Linked DNA regions of Callithrix jacchus. Each later gene encodes a partner of the first gene's protein in a complex. Links are inferred from orthologs where the notes say so. Each region holds a gene or a part of one and is shown on either strand. Other genes may lie near its edges.

Evidence for each region. Proteins that work in one complex are often made in the same cells at the same time.
Region 2: the proteins of KIT (region 1) and SOCS6 are in contact, whole or in part, in a crystal structure (PDB 2VIF), measured with the Homo sapiens proteins. The link is inferred for Callithrix jacchus from reciprocal best matches to the Homo sapiens genes KIT and SOCS6. Residues at the interface, in NP_000213.1 of Homo sapiens: Asn566, Asn567, Tyr568, Val569, Tyr570, Ile571, Asp572, Pro573, Thr574; in NP_004223.2 of Homo sapiens: Arg391, Glu395, Arg409, Asp410, Ser411, Ser412, Asp413, Ser419, Phe422, Thr428, Leu429, His430, Thr431, Arg432, Phe442, Tyr443, Glu444, Gln445, Val448, His460, Asp464, Ala469, Phe470, Cys471, Tyr472, Ser473, Arg474, Ser475, Arg476, Thr482.

Annotation. Positions count from the first base shown.
Region 1 is NC_133504.1:142,021,208-142,031,519, reverse strand, and holds part of KIT (mast/stem cell growth factor receptor Kit), read left to right. Parts: intron 1-769; coding exon 770-963; intron 964-2,441; coding exon 2,442-2,548; intron 2,549-2,638; coding exon 2,639-2,765; intron 2,766-3,043; coding exon 3,044-3,148; intron 3,149-3,231; coding exon 3,232-3,342; intron 3,343-4,547; coding exon 4,548-4,698; intron 4,699-6,508; coding exon 6,509-6,600; intron 6,601-7,057; coding exon 7,058-7,185; intron 7,186-8,235; coding exon 8,236-8,358; intron 8,359-10,312. UniProt on the Homo sapiens protein: Tyrosine-protein kinase that acts as a cell-surface receptor for the cytokine KITLG/SCF and plays an essential role in the regulation of cell survival and proliferation, hematopoiesis, stem cell maintenance, gametogenesis, mast cell development, migration and function, and in melanogenesis.
Region 2 is NC_133514.1:112,900,288-112,910,699, forward strand, and holds the start of SOCS6 (suppressor of cytokine signaling 6), read left to right. Parts: upstream 1-3,109; 5' UTR 3,110-3,309; intron 3,310-3,764; exon of another isoform or gene 3,765-3,901; intron 3,902-6,969; exon of another isoform or gene 6,970-7,158; intron 7,159-10,412. UniProt on the Homo sapiens protein: SOCS family proteins form part of a classical negative feedback system that regulates cytokine signal transduction.

The DNA of each region.
Region 1 (10,312 bases):
TCCTTGATTTTTTTTTTTTTTTTTTTTTGGTAAAGAGTCTTGCTCTGTTGCCCAGGCTGGAGTGCAATGGAGTGATCTTGGCTCATTGCAACCTCTGCCTCCTGGGTTCGAGTGATTCCCCTGCCTCAGCCTCCCGAGTAGCTGGGATTACAGGTGCCCGCCACCATGCCCGGCTAACTTTTTTTTAGTACAGATGGGGTTTTGCCATGTTGGCCAGGCTGGTCTTGAATCCTGACCTCAGGTGATCCGCCTGCCTTGGCCTCCTGAAGTGCTGGGATTACAGGTGTGAGCTGCCATTACTGGCCCCGTGAAGATTTTTTATGCTTTCCTCCTCTCTGCTATTTCTTTTCAACCATTCATGTACCCTTTTGAAACTTGTTTATTTTAGGGATCTACTGTATACCAGCATATATGTCTGCCATTTTATTGAATTCCTTTCCAGTCCTTTCAGTAACCCTTTGCAATGGGTATTACCTTCCCCATTTTACAGTTGTAGAAACTCAGTCTTGGTGGGGGTTAAAGCAACTCGTCAGGATTCAAACCCACATCTGACTCCAAAGCTTCCTCTCCCCTTTCTTCTCTTCCACTGTGCTTTTTTTCACTCACTAGGTCACCAAAGTGCTTATTCCTCATCAGACACTTGTAAAAAGACATTTTCTGTTGATTATGAACCTCTAGCTTTGTTTTAAAAGTATGCCACATCCCAAGGGTTTTATGTATTTGTTTGTTTTCCTAGAGTAAGCCTGGGCTTTTGTTTTTTCCCCTTTAGATGCTCTGCTCCTGTACTGCCAGTGGATGTGCAGATACAAAACACATCTGGGCCACCATTTGGAAAACTAGTGGTTCAGAGCTCCATAGATTCTAGTGCATTCAAGCACAATGGCACAGTTGAATGTAAGGCTTACAACGATGTGGGCAAGACTTCTGCCTATTTTAACTTTGCATTTAAAGGTAACAACAAAGGTATATTTCTTTTTAATCCAATTTAAGGGGATGTTTAGGCTCTGTCCACCATATCAGTCATGATTTTAAGTTCATTCCTACATTGACCATGTCATGTCTGGTAATATGTACATCACACCATACCGTCATCAAACTCACTACGTTTCATTTTGTACTAGTTTGTTAATAAAGTATATGCTTTTACCAGAGTAATTTTAACTATGCTACTTTATATATTTTATGTTTGTCTCTATTATATAGTTAGTTGTAAATTTCAATTGTCTCCATTAAAAAGGGGTAGAGAAAGAAAATGGAGAAATGAATATATATATATATATATATATATTTTTTTTTTTTTTGAGACGAGGTTTTGCTCTTGTTACCCAGGCTGGAGTGCAATGGCGTGATCTTGGCTCACCACAACATCCCCCTCCTGGGTTCAGGCAATTCTCCTGCCTCAGCCTCCTGAGTAGCTGGGATTACAGGCACGCACCACCATGCCCAGCTAATTTTTTGTATTTTTAGTAGAGACAGGGTTTCACCATGTTGACCAAGATGGTCTCGATCTCTTGACCTCATGATCCACCCACTTCGGCCTCCCAAAGTGCTGGGATTATAGGCGTGAGCCACGGCACCTGGCCAATAGGGGGAATATATTTACCTTACACCCAAGCATATTAGAACAATCTAAAATTTAATTTCAGTTATTTAAAATGAATTATTTTAATACTTTGTCAGACACTGTATCCAAAAGTTAACACTGCCTTTATGAGGTCATGTTAGGAAGTTATTTCTTTAAAATACTTAAAATTTGATTCATTTGTGACTAACTCTCTTAACATAAGTTAAATGAGCCTTGTGGACAAATTGATGAATTGGTACAAAATGAGAAACAAAGAAACTGGGCCCTTACTTTTTAGGCCTTCCTGGGGTTTGTTTTTTTTTGAGTTGGCAAAGACCAGTGCCAAAAAGTGGCGTATTTTCTCAGGTTTTGAGTAATGAGGGGAAGAATCTTCCATTGTTCTACATCATCGATTTTTCAGAGAGGGCAATGAAAAGAATACCTTAAAAATGTTTTTTGTGGTTGTGAAAGATGTTCATGCTCAGTGTAGAAAATACGGAAAATACAGGAAAGCATAAAAAAGAAAATATAAACCATCTATAAAGGAAGCTTCTTTTTAAAGTTGTGCAAGGCAGGAATTTGATTGAAGTACAAAGTGCATTCAGATGTTGCTTTTCATTGAAAAACAGCATAAATTATTCCTGTTCTACGGAAATCTCAACTTTTATTCTGCAGTATTCTGGTTTCAAGTTATATTTTTGAAGATTCATTTGAATAACAAGAGTACAATATAACAAAGGTGGGGCTCTGAGACTCACACAGCTTTGTATTTTGCCATGGACTGTGAGCGGGGAGGTGGGTCGATCTGGAATTGCGGGGCTATGGCAGAGATCCCATCCTGCCGATAGTTTGTGATTCCACATTTCTCTCATTTTAGAGCAAATCCAGCCCCACACCCTGTTCACTCCTTTGCTGATTGGTTTCGTAGTCGTAGCTGGCATGATGTGCATTATTGTGATGATTCTGACCTACAAATATTTACAGGTAACCATTTATTTGTTCTCTCTGCAGAGTGCTCTAATGACTGAGACAATAATTACTAAACGTGATCTGTCTTTGCCTTTCTCCCCACAGAAACCCATGTATGAAGTACAGTGGAAGGTTGTTGAGGAGATAAATGGAAATAATTATGTTTACATAGACCCAACACAACTTCCTTATGATCACAAATGGGAGTTTCCCAGAAACAGGCTGAGTTTTGGTCAGTATGAAACAGGGGTTTTCCATGTCACCTTTTCGGGTACATCTAACAGTGACTTTAGGGAACTCCAGTGGCTTCATTTGTTTTGTTCCACCTGAAACAGAGTTTTCTGTGAAATTGCACCTCCTCTGATAGGTTTGGCATAGAGAACAGTATAGGAAAATGTCTCTAGACAAAATTGTCCCTAATTCCTTAATTGATTTTGAAACTACACAAATGGTCCTTCAGTTCCACCACCAGCACCACCACCACTTACCTTGTTGTCTTCCTTCCTACAGGGAAAACCCTGGGTGCTGGTGCTTTTGGGAAGGTTGTTGAGGCAACTGCTTATGGCTTAATTAAGTCGGACACGGCCATGACTGTCGCTGTAAAGATGCTCAAACGTAAGCTCCTGTATGGTACTGCATGCACGCAACACGAGTTTGCCAAATGTGCTTTTTGCTAAAATGCTTGTTTCCAATTTTAGCAAGTGCGCATTTAACAGAACGGGAAGCCCTCATGTCTGAACTCAAAGTCCTGAGTTACCTTGGTAATCATATGAATATTGTGAATCTTCTTGGAGCCTGCACCATTGGAGGTAAAGCCATGTCCAAATTGCCTTTTTTTGTTAAGTTATCCAAAGATGACATTTTAATATGATTTTGACAATGCTGGATTATAAGTTGCTGGAAGACTTTCACCCAGACTATTATTCTCTCCTGCTAGATTTTGTTTTCCTTACTGTTCTTAAGAATGCAGATTTTAATTTTATTACTACAAGGTAGATCAGCCCAGGACATACACTAGTTACTGTCGTGTTTGTAACATCAACAACATTGGCTTCTCGAATAGCTCATCCTGACCAGAAGGCTTCTCTTATCTTGTAAGCTTTATATCTTTCTTGATCATATGTAGCCACTGAAAGGGTTAATATTCATTTGCATACTATAATTGAAAATAGGCACCTAAGCCTACTAGTTCTCAGATATATACCAAGTGAGGCAAACATTTCACTTCTGTAAAAATAAGTTTCCAATCTGAAGCCTTAGTTGAGGTTTCCATCAAGGATGTCTGTGATGTTTACAGAAAGTATTTCAGTTGAAAGAAACAAAGATGTGTAAAATGAGCTGTTCCTGGAGATGCACGGTGAAGTTGACAGCTTTATGTAATGTCTACAGACAACCCCTGTAAATGTTGCTTCACCGCATCATGAATTGTTTATGAGGAAATTTCTTACCCAAGTTAATTAGTTGCCTCTTACCTCCGAACTACAGTTTTAAACATTCATAACACCAGAAAGATTTTTCAACTAGTAGTGCTCAGAACAGAGGTCATTTTAGGTTTTCACTCACTTTCCAGTCTCATCCCAGCAAGCTGCTCCATGTGGCTGATGTCCCCACTATGCCACAGTTTGTACCTTCATTATTTCCATAATAATGTTACAGAGAGCACGTGAAGCCCTGCTGTAAACAGAAGTGAATCAAAGGATTCACGTAGGAAGCTTGATGATAGTAGAACCTTTGAAAGCAGTAACTTCTGTCTGTAAAACCAGCAGTCATGCTTGGCCCCAAATACTGATGTCACTTAGAAATTCAGGTTAACAGAGGCTTGCTTGTTTTATGTTACTCCATAATGCTGCTTTTTTGATAAGCATTGTTAATATATAGGATCGTATTGGGACTAAGTAGGCTTATCCACTGAAGCTGAATATTAATGGCCATGACCACCCTTGGGTATTTTTATGGGAGGCAGAATTAATATACATATCTCACCTTCTTCTAACCTTTTCTTACGTGCTTGTAGGGCCCACCCTGGTCATTACAGAATATTGTTGCTATGGTGATCTTTTGAATTTTTTGAGAAGAAAACGTGATTCATTTATTTGCTCAAAGCAAGAAGATCATGCAGAAGCTGCACTTTATAAGAATCTTCTGCATTCAAAGGAGTCTTCCTGGTAAGATTGATTTACGTAAATAGTTAGCTGTTGACAGGCAGTTCATGGGGTCATAAGGGTTTGCAATCAAGGCTGATTCTTTAAAAAATGAACTGAGGTACTCTGAGGTATGAAATCAAAATTATTAAATCATTTAAATGTGATTAACAGTTTAGAAAGTTCAAATTGTGTTTTTAAAGATTCAAACTGTGATAAACCTGGATTTTTGCTGATTTTTAAAAAATGCATTTTTACTTTTTTCTACACTTTAGTTCTATGCAACTGAATGAATTCTATTTCTGTTTCTTATGGTTCTGTCCTGCATGTATTTCCATTTATACCACTGAGCTTGGTGCTATATGCATGTTTCCAGTGAGACACTGTTTATAGGGAAAATGCTAAAGCCTCTCAAGTTGCCACAGTAAAGTCCTTTAAAACCTTTAGCAGAATGACAGAGAGCTCTGAACATATCTCTACACGTAGGCTTTTTGCCATCGACCTCTGAATTATTCCTATATGCCTTGCCTCTTGCCCCTTTTAATTCATCATGCTATTAAAAGATATAACCACTCCAGCACATTTTTATAAATTCTGGACACCATTCTCATCTCTTTCATCATGGCTGCCATTCTGAATTTGAATCATCTATAAAGAGCTTCAAGTTTGATTTACAACCAGAAAAGAAACTTGCCTATTCTTTCTTTGGAAGTGCTGTTATGAGCCACCATTTGAGAAGACTTCCTAGATTTACTTCACCCAGTAGAAGTCATGATTATCTTGGCCAATCCCCTATACTACAGTTGGGTGGGAGATTTCTCTTATCCTTTTTATGCACTACATCCCCTGCACCTTGTGACGGCAAGACGTTGCCTCCTAAACTCTTAACACCAGGCCCTCTAGGAGACCTCAGTAAATAATATTGATGGGCAATTACCTTTTAGAGCCATTTTCTGTACCTCTGGCTAAAGTTTAAAGCCCCAGGTGAAACTTTTTATTTTTTTAATCCTATAAACTTGAATAGTTTAAAGTGGTAGTAAAATTCTGTACAAAACCACCTTTTATTAGTTTCTCCTGGGCATGTGCTCATTATATGAAGAAATGAGCCATTTTGCTTCTTTCCGAAATCTTGGCCCTATCTATATTCTTTAACTTTCTGAAATAATGGCCGAAATTGTTCAATTCTGTGTGATGTTCTTTGTGCTTTGGGATCCCATATGGGATTGGAACCACCAGCACACTCTGAAGGAGATTGTTGTCATGGTGTTTCTATGCTAATCAGAAGCAGGAAGTACTAGAAATCTTGAAGAGTCTCCAGCCAAATGTTGCAGATTGAAGAGGTCCAGATGGTTCAGAAAATCATCCAAATTATTGGTGTTTATCTGAACCAACTTGATTTTTTTTTTTAAACCTTATTCCATCAGTCACTATATGTTAACGATCTCTGTCTCCCCCCATAACACATCTTAGAAGCTCCTCTTCTTTGTCTTTCTTTCATCTTGTTTCCTGGGGCTCATTTAGAGAGTTTGAGGTAATACAGGATACCATTTTCGTTTCCCATTAAATCCACGTGTCAAGAGATGGGAAATTTCTAACCTGGGTCCCCTCTATGATTAAACACAGAAAGGACACCTAATTTCTGGGCATAGACCCCAATATTGAATATTAAAAACTCATATTTTACAGAACAAGATTTTCATTCATATTTTACTTTCCTCAAGTCAGTCCAGTCTATTATGTAGCAAAGGGGATGACGAGGGAGAGCCTGACCCATGAGTGTCAGGCTTCTGCACGTCCCACTTGATTCAGTCATGACTTGTTTCATCTCTCCCAGCAGCGATAGTACTAACGAATACATGGACATGAAACCTGGAGTTTCTTATGTCGTTCCAACCAAGGCCGAGAAAAGGAGATCTGCGAGAGTAGGTGGGTACCCACCTATCAAGCAACAAGAGCAACTTTATTTACAGAGAGTATATATATATCATGCTAATGTGGAATACAATGTCATTCCCAGTAGCAATGATGGAAACCAGTTCTGCTTTATGGTAGCCATGCCAATGGTCGATGGCAGTTAGGGTTGCAAGTGGGTGTTTGGGGTTAGAGTATATGTTTTTGTGTCTGAGCATCTTACTATAGACTTGGGATTTTTGTATTAATTCGCCATCCCTCTCTTCTACGGATTTTGTAACCCAGCCTAGGATTGTTAAATACTAATTTTGTGATTCAGCATCTACCTTTCCTGGACACCAGGGAGGTGATCTGCCTGCAAGTTCACATTAGTTCATTCATTACCAGCCTTTGGTATTGTCATTGCCACTGTCTTTTCCTTTTCTAACCTTTATGGTTTTAATTGCTAAGAAAAACCCTCCCTTCATCACAGGCTCATACATAGAAAGAGATGTGACTCCTGCCATTATGGAGGATGACGAGTTGGCCCTAGACTTAGAAGACTTGCTGAGCTTTTCTTACCAGGTGGCAAAGGGCATGGCTTTCCTCGCCTCCAAGAATGTAAGTGGGAATGATTCTCAAAAGAGTTTTTTGTTTTGTTTTGTTTTTTAAACAGAATTTTAGAGCCATAGTTAGAAGGCAGAGTGTCATTTTGAAGTGTGGTAACCAAAAGCAGAGGAAATTTAGTTTCTTCGTGTTCCAACTGCTGTCTCTTTGGAATTCCTGTTCTAATTTATAAGCTTCAAAGTGTAAGCCTGTCAAAATGAGTTTTCTATGAATATTCTTTTATATGCAGTGAATTCATTTAAAACTTCTGACTTTTAGGATATAGGATATGTTCCTAGAGAATAGAAACATTTTATCAGTAAAAGCAGAGGGCACCTCATAGTTACAAGGATTGGGGTGAAGCATAGACTTGAATTTTATTGAAGTTAGACCCAAGTATTACAATGCATGGCTTATGAAGTGTTGGGAAATAAGGGGTCAAGAGAGTATAATAAACACTTGGGAGAAAGATAGGAATGGAAAAAGAATGATGGAACCAAGAAAAGAAGATGGTCTGTGGAAAGGTGAGAGGAATTCCTTAGGACATAAGATTAACCGAACAGAATGAGGTTACCAGTCCTATCCTTAAATGTCATGGGTGACATTTCCCAACAATTACCAAACTAAGAAAGGACACAGGATGGCTGAAATAAAGACCTTCTTCCGTGTGTCCTTGGGAAATGTCAAATTGAAGTTGCAAAGGCATGTTAGGAATTCTGTGAAAGGACATTCAAAGAGATGTATGCAAAATGAATTTCCAGTTTCAGCAATATGATATGACTATTTCTTATGAATTTTCCTACGAATAAAAGCAGTCCTGAGAAGAAAATACATTTATTAGAATTGCTTTTGAAAGAGATTATAGTAATTAGACTCTTGATTATGTGAACATCATTCAAGGCATGCTTTTGATTTTTTTTTGTTGTTGTTGGTGTACTGAATACTTTAAAACAAAAGTATTGGATTTTTTATAATATAACAACACTCTAATATTAAAAAGTTAGTTTCACTCTTTACAAGTTAAAGTGAATTTAAATGGTTTTCTTTTCTTCCCCAATCGAATAGTGTATTCACAGAGACTTGGCAGCCAGAAATATCCTCCTTACTCATGGTCGAATCACAAAGATTTGTGATTTTGGTCTAGCCAGAGACATCAAGAATGATTCTAATTATGTGGTTAAAGGAAATGTGAGTACCCATTCCCTGCTTGATAGTCCTGCAAAGGAGTTGTAGTTTCAACTTTCAATAAAAATTGTTGCCTATGATTTTCATAATGTAAATCCTGTCTTGAGCTATCACATATTTTAGCAGTCAAATTTAGTGTACTTCAGCAAAATTTGCATGGTATGCTGAACATTACTACAACTAACATTCAGTAATGGAATTCCTAATTCTAATTGTGTAATTATGGGGCACGTGAAGGAAACAGAAATAGCCTTAATTTTCATTAGAGCCTGAGAATAGCAATGAACTTGATTTTGTTCAACTGTATCAAATGTAGGTCATTGAAGGTCACAGCAGGAGAAATTTTGGGGGATTGACATGCCGTGTGAAGAAGATTAAAATCTAAGGTCATGTTCAGAGTTAGCCATATAGAATGTTGGATCCTAGAATTCATGGAGAGCTATTAAATGGGTTCATAAGTAATAATGAGTTTGTAGAACATAGAAAATGTTTTTCAAAGTGCTATATTTCATTGCCAATTTTTATTGAACTCAGAACAAACTCTTGCCCTACAATTGCAGTGTCTTCCTATTTTAAAAGTTGGAGAAACTAAGGCATAGTATATTTTCATGCTTTTTGTCTGAGGTGACACAGGGCAGGACCCAGAGCCTGTGATTTCCAGAGTGGCATCCCATCGCCATGGAAAACCATATTGCCCTGTATATTCTTCTATGTCTTTTTCTTACTGGGCCCATTTCCACAGTCCAGATTTATTCCTGGAGGTAGATTTTTGTGCCCCTTATGATAATGTAATATTTTCTCTCTCATCACTATGGTGTCTCTACTGGTAGTCTGTACTTGACTTGGTATGGCTGTGTTTATCTTCTGGCCAAAGCATGAATTTCTGAGAAGTCTGTCCTGAAGCTAGATATCATCATCAGGAGTGATAATAAAAACAACTTCTCTTCATCCTGGTGTGATTTTGGAAGGAAGAATAACAAGTTGTTTATTATCTAGGCCTCTGAACATTGACCAAAGGGAGGAGAAAGAAGATGGCAACCTCCAGGCTCAGTCTTGATTAATTCTGTAATCTGCCTCCATTATTTCATGGCTGTATAATATTGTCAAGACTTACCCAACATCTCTGAATCTTGGTTTTTCTCCCCTTGGGAATAATAGTGATTCCTGACTCAGAAAGTTATTTTGAGGATTAAAGGAGTTAATAGATGTAAAGTGCTTAGAACGTGCCAGACATATTGTTACGATTCTTTATAGATGTCTTATAAATAATCCTGCCTATTGTTATATACTGTTTTGTTATTGGTTAGTAGTGACCTTAGTTTGAATTGACAAAGGGGTTGGCCCCCATCAGGCTTCCAGATTATAGACTCCAGCTCAAGGAGTCTACAATCGAACTAACCAATCACAGGCATTGCTTTCACCAGGCTTGTGGGTAAGGAGAATTTCTGAAACAAGATAAGGACAAGGAAACTCACACATGTTACTGCCCAGCGTGTATGTCATCATCATTTGAGAACTCCTTGTTGTGTCAGGGTCTCTGAAGTTCTTCCTTTCACATGAGTTCTTCATCATTTTTTCATGTCATGGCCCCTTTTAGAGTCTGGTAAAGCCTGTGGAACCGTTGTCAGAACACTGTTTTCAACGCCTGTGATGAAATACATAGGACTGCCAAGGAAAACAGTTAAATCGAAGTAGCTATCAGGATATTAAGTAAATTTGTGGTATGTCAGTACATGTGTTTACTACAGAGAGTAACAGATTCTTTTAGGTTGGTGTAAAAGCAATTGTGAGCTTTGCTATTTTTTTTTTTTTTTTTTTTTTTTTTTTTTTTTTTTTCAGAAAACCACTGTAATTTTAGAGTGGTGATTAAATAGGATTTTGAGATACATGTAAAGACTTAATAGGATATGAAGGTATTTATGATTACTGTTCATGACAAAGCCACAGGTACAGCTGA
Region 2 (10,412 bases), on another chromosome or scaffold:
CCTCCCTTCTTTTCTCTCTCTCTTTTTGAGCGAGTTTCACGCCGTTGCTCAGACTGGAATGCAATGGCATGATAGCTGTTCACTACAACCTTTGCCTCCTGGGCTGAAGCAATCCTCCAGTCTCAGCCTCCTGAACAACTGGAACTACAGGCATGTACCATCATGCCCAGCTAATTGTTGTATTTTTAGTAGAGACAGGGTTTTGCCACGTTGCCCACGTGAGTCTCAAACTCCTGGGCTCTCAAGCAATCCATCGGCTTTGGCCTCCCAAAGTGCTGGGATTATGGGTGTGAGCCACTGCACCCAGCCTGATTCTTTTTGTAAGACAGAGTCTCGCTCTGTTGTCCAGGCTGGAGTGTGGTGACATGTTCATAGCTTACTGCAACCTGGAACTCCTGGGCTTAATAGATCCTCCCGCCTCCATGCCACCCCACCCTGCTAATATATTAACTTTTTGTAGAGACAACATCTGGCCATGGTGCTCAGGCTGGTCTCGAATCCCTGACCTCAAGTGAACCTTCCACCTTGGCATCCCAAAGTGCTGGGATTACAGGTGTGAGCCTCCCTGTCTGGCCTGGGGAAGAGTTACGGGCATATATCTTAGCTGTGTTGGGTGTTGGTAGAGCAAAGATAAGATTTCCTCCAAAAAAGAGAGCAAGTGCTGATGGGAAAAAGGGTTCAGGCGGATAGCCAAGAAGATAACACATGTTTATGGCCAAAAAGTGTCTGAAATGTAGCCAAGCATGGCGATTTTAAATAGTATATCTAGACTAATATCTCTACACTGAAGTTGTTGCTATATTATTAATACTGTAATCATTATTTAGTGGTAAAGGGTCTAAGCCTAAATTCCAGCTCTGCCCTATAGTAGCTGTGACTTGGGGAGAGTGAATTCTTACCTTCGCACTGCACATCTCAGTTTCCTCATCTGTAAGGCAGGGATGATGTTAATACTGACCTTACTGGATTGATATGAAAATTAAAACACGTAATATATTCAAAAGAATTGAATGCAAGGCGTGACTCATTAGGCCCCTAGTGGTTTTTCTGCATTATTTCATGAAATCTTACAACTATTTGGTATAATTCGTATCAAGCCCCTTCATTCCCCCTTTACAAAAGTAGAAACTGAGGTTACAACTGAGAAACTTGTTTGAGGTCACACGGCTGTCAGACCTGTCAAAGCTGTGCCTCTGGTCCAGCTCTGCTAGACTCAGAACCCCTGGGTCTTAACCATACATTCAAGAGTCTCCTGGAAGTCAACTCTTCCCCACCCTTCACAGCCCCATTGCTGCGAAAAAGGCTCACTAACCCCCTGCTGCACAGCTCCTGCTGGTTGTCCTTTTTAGATAAAATAGGGAGACACTGGCATCCCGAGGCAGTAGGATTGAAAAGTTTGCTTCTTTTCTTTTCGAGATGGAGTCTCGCTCTGTTGCCCAGGCTGGAGTGCGATAGCACTATCTCTGCTCACTGCAACCTCCACTTCCTGGGTTCAAGCAATTCTCCTGCCTCAGTCTCCTGAGTAGCTGGGATTACAGGCACCTGCCACCATGACCGGCTAATTTTTGTATTTTTAGTAGAGACGGGGGTTTCACTGTGTTGGCCAGGCTGGTCTTGAACTCCTGACCTCATGATCCGCCTGCCTTGGCCTCCTAAAGCATTGGGATTACAGGCGTGAGTCACTGCTAATTACCGTTTTTTGTGTTTCCCACTAACCTCTCTGCCAATTCTATTTCAACCTCCATTCTCCAATCATTGTAATTAGGTATTTCAGAATTGTGTTGCATTTCAATCACGGTAACAATAATGGTAGCATTTTATTAATCAAGTAAAAACTGAAAATGACAATGATAGTGTATGACACACAACAAATGACATCAACTTTGCATCACCTAAAGTTCCAACTTTTCTGTTATGAATCTAGATTTCTTGTCGAGCATTTTATATTGAACATAGGAAATAAGATTACTGTACGTGAACATTTTGTAACTAACAACTTTCTGAAGATGTAATTCGGGTAAAAACTCACACCTGAACAACTTTTTTAGACTTTTTTCTAGCCCTTTTTTCTCTGTACTTTCAGTTTTCTTTTTAAACGGTCCATATTATTCAACAACTTTTCAAGTCCACAATAATTCTTGTTAGATTTTAATGATACTTATCTGCCCCCAAGCTCTATTGAAATAATAATGACATTCATTTTTAATCACTTTTCATCATAAGAGAAATACAAATTTTCCTATTGATTTCCCATGGACAAAAATCAAGTTTTCAGCCAGTTTCCCTGTAGACATGAGTCAAGTCCCCAACATGCAACTTGTATATCACACTACCTTGGAATTCGGCGGCACAAACATCAGTGAACTATTACTTGTACAAAACCTCTCTGAAAATGACTAAATGGAAAAGTAAATGGCTCGAAACAAGGAATAAGTTTGGTTTTTTAAAAAGCAATTTTCACGATTCAGTCGAGAAGGTGTGGGGAGCGCTTCCCCACTTGTGGCTCTGCACGGCGTGCGCGCGCGGCAGTCCGGGGGTCTCCTCCCCGCGGGGACAAGGTCGGGGTCCCGGCGCGAGCCCAGACCTGACCAGTGTGGGGGTCCCGCCGCCGGTCGCAGGGGCACAGGGACCGCGTCCGCCAAATCCACGGGGCCTGTGTGTGGGGGAGCCGAGGACTTTCCTTTCCACGTTAGCCAGAGCCACCCCGACCGGAGGAAAGGCACCAGGGACCCCGGGGGCTGGAGGAGCAGCCGCCTGCAGCCATCGGCTGAGGGGCTCAGGAGGGCGCGGGGGTGGGAAGATCCGGGCTCCGCGCCCCGCCCTCCCGCCCCACGACCCTGGCCCGGCGCTCCTCCCCTCGGAACCCCCCACCCAGTGCCCGGCCCCCGCCCCGCCCCGCCCCGCCCCGCGCGGCCCCCAGCCCTAGCCCCGTGCGCCCCGACGCCCCGCCTGCGCCGCAGGCCCGAGTAGTGGGCGCGGGGCGGCCAGCTCGGCTCCTCCGCACCCGCTCCCCGCTCGGGCCGAGTCGCTGCGGCCGCGCGCCCCTCCTGGAGGAGGAGGAGGAAGGAGGCGGGAGGAGGAGTTGCCGAGAAGAGAAGGCGAGCGCGGCAGTCGCGCCGGCGCTGGGCGAGGAAGCGGAGCCGGGCCGCCTCCGGGTGAGCGTTTGGGGAGCCTGGGAGGGAGGCTGGGACCGGGCTTCGCCGTCCGCAGCCCGGGGCACTGGCCGCCGGGCTGGTTTCCGCCTCGAGGCTCAGGGGGCGGATCCGGCGCGGGCCGGGCCGGGGAGGCCGCCGGGCGCGGGCTGCAGCGGTGGGTCTGGGTCAGCGCGAGGGCCTGCGCCGCCTCGGCGGTTGCGCCCGTGGGGGCCGGGGCTGGGGAGCTGGAGCCGGGAGCAGGGACGCGGGAACCGGGAAGCCGGGGCCGGGGCGCGGCGGCCCCTGAAGGGCTGAGGCCTGCGCGGTCGCGGGCGGTTCTTCCCGACCTCTCGGCCTCTTCGGCCGCGGCGCGCCGGCCTGGGCCGCCGCCTTTGTTGCCCGCAGCTCGCCGGGGAGAGGCCGGGGCTCGGTGAGGCCTGGGCGGCGGCGCGGGGCCTGCGCGGCTCAGCGCCCCGGCCGGGTCCCTGCTCGGACCTCCGCGGGCTGGGGGTCGGGACGCGGCGAGGCCGCAGGCGCGAGGGCGGGCCCGGGGCGCGGTGCTGGGACTCGGGGACGCCCCCGCCCCACCGCGAGGTCGCGCCTACGCTGGCGGAGTGGCAGGCCGGGGCTGCTCTGTGGCCGAAGGTGCCGCCGGCCGGCCGCGCACTCACCCGGGCGTGGGGAAGGGACGATTGTGGAATTTAAAGCGCTCCTGGGACCGACGCGGGCCTGAATTTTCCGTTTGCTTCGGGAGTTGGCAACTTCAGGTACACCCTTGTGGCTCACGGAGCAGAATTATGGAAGTTTCTTAGAGGCAGGTCCCGTCACAAAACTTGAAATGTGTGGTGGAATGAGAAACTGGGGTTCCCATCCCCAGAGTTTGGAATGAAGGGCCAGGTGGGAATATGTGGCAGAACTCAGTCTTCCGGTAGCAAAATAAATAATGTTGAATTCATTTCAACAAATGTTTCTGCAACGTCTGCCCGTAGAAGGCAACACGCACTGTGCATGAGGACAGAGAACACACTAATGATAGAAATAACGTGAATTACACACGCGGAACGTCTCCCAGAGACGTTTTAAATTTACTGTGTTCCTTGGGGTAAAGCTATATTAGTAATCAAACAAAGGCAAATGGTCTACTTTCAGTTAAAATATCTGACACCTTCTCAACCACAGAAGATAGCAGTTTGTCTTGACTTTTTTTTTTTTTTTAACCCACAGCATTAAATCCATTTAGCTTACTTGAATGAATGAATCTTATCGGAATAGTTAATGCTGTGGACAGTCAGACTTACTTAAAAACAGGAATGGCATTGCTCACCGGCTTTCACAAAACCCCGAAGAAAGTCTGTAATGCTTTCCCATGGGCTAATTTCTCCTCCTAGTGGGTTTTGTGCACGCGTGGATATGGTAAGGTTTAGGGTCCATTCCTCTGTAAACGAAATAGGTGGCCTTAACCCTTCGATTCCAACACCCTCCCTAAGCCTGGCTTGGTGCCTTGGAGGAAGCTGGTTCGTGGACAGTGGACTGGTTTCCTAGAAGAGCTTCTATCTGGAGTGTGGCCAGGGCTTTCCACTTGTGCCTGGGTAAGGATCAGCTAGGTATTCACCTGAATCTATACTTTTTTAGAATTCCATTCAGCGTCTCTTTTGGAACACTCTCTCTTTCCTACCTTTATCATTTATCTAAATTACCCTCTAAATTGGTAGTCTTGCTCCTTGCTCCTTTCTCCTTGCTCCACCCACCCAAGAGCACACGCAAGGGCATCCCTTAACCCCCTCCCTTGGCAGGAGGGCCCCTCCCCCCCCAGGGAAGGGATTTGAGTGCCGTTGACTGGAAAGTGGTGCTGTACTGACTGAGTTTCTAGTCATTTTGCCTTCCAGTGTTTTTTTTCATTCTTGTATTAGAACTGGAAAACGTATTCTTTTTAGTGCCCCTCCCCCCCCTTTTTTTTAAGAAAACAGAAAGCAAGTATCTTCTTTTTTGCTTTTACTCTGTCACCCAGAGTGGAATACAGTGGTGCAGTCATGGCTCTCTGCAGCCTTGAACTCCTGGGCTCAAGTGATCCACCTCCCTCAGTCTCCTGGGTAACTGGGACTGGAGGCATGTGCCACTAAACCTGGCTGATGGTTTTTTGTAAAAATGGGGTCTTGCTGTGTTGCCGAGGCTGGTCTCAAACTGCAGGCCTCAAGATCCTCTCACCTCAGCCTCCCAAGAGCCCTGGGATTTCAGGCATGAACCACCGCGCCCAGCCTGCAAGTGTCCTCTTTACGTCTGTCTTGTGTAACTACACTCCTCAGAGAAAATCTTGCTAGTTTTCTCCATTGTGGCCAGTTTTCAGAAGACTTTTGGGTTACTGATCATGTCTTTTATTTTGCTTATAGAGGTGTGATCTTATTTAAAAGTCCAAACATAGATGGTCCCCAGTTTTGGATTTTTTGACTTTTTGGTGGAGCAGAAATGATACACATTCAGTATGCGCCTCGACTTATATCCATATAAACCCACTGTGAGTTTTGACTTTTAAGGTATTTTCAGTTTATCATGGGCATACTGGAATGTAAGTTGGGGACGTCTGCCATTTGCAAATCTGTAGCAATAATTTTTATTCTCTTAAAAATATGCACTCATGAGAAAGGATATTACATATATAAATACATATGCATTTGGAAGTATTAGGTCAGATACCTCATTTATAATCCAGTATAACTGATGGATTTGTGTACATTCTGTTTTAATGCTTAATAAACTTAGATAAATAAATGAACTAAAAAGATCTCCTTTTGCTTTTTTCTGTTTATTTCATCCTTTGTAGGAAGTGAGGATTGTCTATTTCAGTCCTCTGTCCTCATCCCTGACCTCTTCCAATTCTGGAAATTATATATGCATCTGTGGTGCCAAAGTACTTTTGTAAAATTACTCATTTTACAAGGGAGAAATTCCTAATACTAGTGTATGTCATAAAAAGGAGAAACTTTCTTATATGGCCAGATTGATAGAAATAATTGTTCAGATATTAAAAGAGAAGCAACGAAAGAGATGTTTAATATTGTTTTAAAGTGAAATTATCATTAATGTTTTTATGGATAATTTATTATGCTGTTTGGCATGTTGGTTTAGCTAATAAGTTGTGATGGCTTTAGGACTGAGGACACTGTTTACTTAGACTGATTTCAGGTCTTTACTGACCCATACAAACAATAAATTTTACTTAGTTGGGGCAGTTGATTTTAGGTGGCTGTTGGTCTTGATGTTTCAAGAACAGACATATTTAGGTAAGCCATGTGAGGTTTCAGTTCCCACCTCGCACACTCTGGACGTTTTGGAGCATCCATTTACCATCTCTGTGAACTTGAGCATGTTCTGTATGCCCTCTGAGTCCTATTCCTCATGTGGGGATAATAATTTATCTCACAAAGTTACAATGAATATGTATTTATGGTAAAACTTTTTGTTTGTTTGTTTTTGAGATGGGGATCTTGCTCTGTTGCCCAGGCTGGAGTGCAGTGGCGTGATCAGAACTCGCTGCAGCCTCATCCTCCCAGGCTCAAACAAACAATCCATACACCTCAGCTTCCCTCCGCTAGTAGCTGGGACCACGAATGCATGCCACTGTGCCCAGCTGATTTTTTTATTTTTTGTAGAGCTGGAGTCTCCTTATGTTGCCCAGGTTGGTCTTCAAATCATGGGCTCAAGTGATCCTCCCACCTTTGCCTCCCAAAGCGTTGAGATTGCAGGCATGAGTTCCTGTGCCCAGCCAAAAATCCACACTCTTTACCTGTGACTGTAACATTTCTGCCTAGTTCTGAAATGTGTTTTCATTTCTCCCTAGTTCTCATCTTCAGCAACCTTCCCTGCCTTACCAGGGTTCTGCCCTAGCCTTTCTGTTCCTCAACAATCTGACCTGCTTCCTGCACCCCCACCTTTGACACAGTAGTTCGCAGTGTCCTTCAGTGGCTTCTGTGGTTGGTTCATTCTCAGATCTTAACGCCAGTGTCACCACCCAGAGACTTCATGGACGGTAAGGTATTACGGTTCCTTTAGTAATCCCAAGTCATTAACTTGTATGGTTCCTTCATAACCTCTATTATTTTCTGTAATTATTTAGTTTACTTGTTTCTGCTGTTTCCTCCCCCCACCCCGCCCTGAATAAGTTCTATATGGGCACAGTGCCTACGGTGGTCCTTCTTTTCTGTGTCCCTGACACAGCCCAGGGGCCTGGCCACTGAGTAGGAGAGGTGTGGCTATACAGAAAGTACTTGGAGTTTTCATGTTGTTATCTCCACCTTAAAGGCAACGACATGCTGTCTGCATGTTAGAAAGTTGTTGGTGTTTCGTGGTGTTTGTCCTTTTCTGAACTGGTCTGCTTGTGTAGCTGAGTAAATCATAGCACTAATAAAACCAAAGCCCTTATAATTACATGGCCCCAACAGCCCCACAGAGAGAGGACTGTCACTGCCTCTAGAGCCGTAATGTGTGTCTGAGTGACTCAAGGACCAGACTAACTTGCAGTGTAGACGCCCATATCTCCTGCTTCTGGAAGTATAGTTATGTATAGTGTGTAGAAAGTCACTATTCCCAAAACACGTTTCCCTTGGTCATGTGGCTTAGTAAAGTGGAACCTCAGTTATCTGAAACCTCCTGGTATCCTCAGATTTCTGGTGTAGAATTAAAGCCAGAAGGAAAAACTCCTTGGAAATTAGAAAAGCCAGAGACTAGGCCGGGCACAGTGGCTCATGCCTGTAATCCCAACATTTCGGAAGCCCAAGGCAGGTGGTTCGCCTGAGGTCAGGAGTTCGAGACCAGCCTGACCAATATGATGAAACTCCACCTGTACTGAAAGTACAAAAACTAGCTGGGAGTGGTAGCATGTGCTTGTAGTCCCAGCAACTTGGGAGGCTGAGAAAGGAGAATTGCTTGAACTGAGGAGGTAGAGGTTGCAGTGAGCCGAGATCGCACAGCACCCCAGGCTGGGCGACAGAGCGAGACTCTGTCTCAAAAAAAGAAAAGAAAAAGAGAAAGAGAAAGAAAGAAAGGAGGGAGGAAAGGAGGGAAAGATCAGAGACTTAGAAGCCCTCGATGGTAACTGAGGAAGGCGGTCTCTCAAGGGAATGCAGATCTAGGTTTGAATTTCAGCACTTCAATTTTATAGAGTATATTAAAAAAAAATCTTAAAGTTTTTGTTGCTTTACATATAAAGTAATAATGCTGTTTCTCTCAGAGCTGGTGTGAAAATGGAGTGACATAATGCATGTTAGTGTATTAATTCAGTGCCTGAAATATAACAAGTGCTAATACTTTAACACTAGTATTCTGCTCCTTAATCTGACCGCTTTTGACTAGTCAGATTACATTTGAAAATAATAGTGATAATTCCTACTTAAAGTAACTATTACTATTAATTTAAAACATCTGACTAGTCAAAAGTAGTATTCTCTGATTAATCAGCCACATCTTTGTTAGACATGAGTGTTTTTGTTAAGGAAGCCTAATGTGGGAAAAGGGTTTGAGACCAAAGGAACAAGAGAAATGGGAATGAAAGCAGTAAGCTAGAGTCGTCTTCAGAAGCAGTGTTAGTGCAAGCTGCTAGAATGGTAAGGATGACAGGTGGCTGCAGTGTTAGCAGCAGTGGCCCGACGTGGCTGTGGGGTCATTGCAGTTCACTGATGGGAGACCGAGCCTTCTGCTCTGAGTACGTTTGTTCTCATATTGTTTTATCACTCCTAACAGCAACACACTAAAATACTTTCTTAAAATTATTAAAAGGGCATCACACTTGGAGATTGGGGAGTGATGATGATCTTATTTTCTGTAGTATCGGACTCTTGAGTGTAGAGAAAAAGCAGGAAGACAAGCTATATCTGAAGGCCTGGGAGGCAGGCAGTGATCTAAACATCAGTAAGTCCTAATGGTGTCGTTATGCCTTCCTGAAATTTTCCAACAGATACATTTGGTCATCTGGAGAGGCATCCATTTATATATAGCAGTTTGTGACAGTCTGAGATTATACTTAATATACACACTTGTGCTTAAAATACCGTTTTGAAGACAAGAATGTTTGGCTCCTATTAGATAAGATTTCCATCAAAAACAATTTCAATAGTTCAGTGTTAATCTTTAGAATTATCTAGACAAGGTTTTTTTACTCAGTGCTCTGGGTAGCCAATTATTTGGTGCTGTTTATGGTTGCACTTAAAGTGATTTTTACGGTACACGTTATTCTGACCATGTCAATAATATGCTAGATGGTTGAAGCAGTTGGGTTAGCAGGTTTTTAAAGTCAGACGGATTCTTACTGGTAGATTTTTACTGTGTCTGTATGTTATTTGTCTAAAGTTTGTTTCGATAATGGTGTTTGTTTTTAAAGCTTAAATTTGGTTTTAAGTAACATATTACCATCAGACAATAGTCATTTTTGTTTGTTGACATTGCTTTTAAAGTTAAAAAAAAAGTAACATATTTAGGAAACAACATTATTGCCAAATACCATAGACTGGCAGAAAATGTAAGCAAGTACCGAGGCAGAGAATTGTAGTGGGATTTTAGTGATTTTATACATTTGCAGCAGAATTACTGCATTTAGAGCTAGAGGAAACTCCTCTGATTATAGATGATCTTCATCCTTGCACAGATGAGGAAATTGGGTCTAAGCAGGGTACGTCATCTGCCCAGAGTCACACGTCACATTAGTAGTAGATTTCCGAATGGAGTCTGGTGTACGCACCCCTTCTTGCTGTTGAGGCCGAAGGTTTTAATTTAATCCTGGAAGCTGGGGAATTTGGATTTGTCTTCATGGAGGTTGTTACAGTTGAGCTGGCTGAGACCTTGCATGTCAGAAAACGTCTATGTTCTAAGTATTTGGTGTATGCCTGGCTGTGTAAAAATTCCAGGTTAATATTTTAGTTCAGATAGAATAAGTTATCTGACAGTGACAGATTAACTCTGAAATCTCAGCGCATGACTAGAGGTCTGTGTCTTGCTTTCACGAAGTCTGCGGCTCCCTTAGCCTCTTTCTTTGGGTCCAGTCTGCTTCCACCTGCAGTCCCTGTCTGTTGCCTTCATGGCAGAGGCGGGTGTTCCTGCAGGTCGCTCACTGGTGACCAGAACCAGGCCTAGTCCCTGCAAGGATGCCAGACACGTGCAAGGGCACAAGGAGAGTCATTGAACTGTCAGTGGGGGTCATAGTTGTAAGGGTGTTTCCTCTTGGAATTTTGCAGGCATTGCTCCGTTGTCTTCCGGTTTTTAGCGTTACTGTTAAGTCACGTGCCACCCATT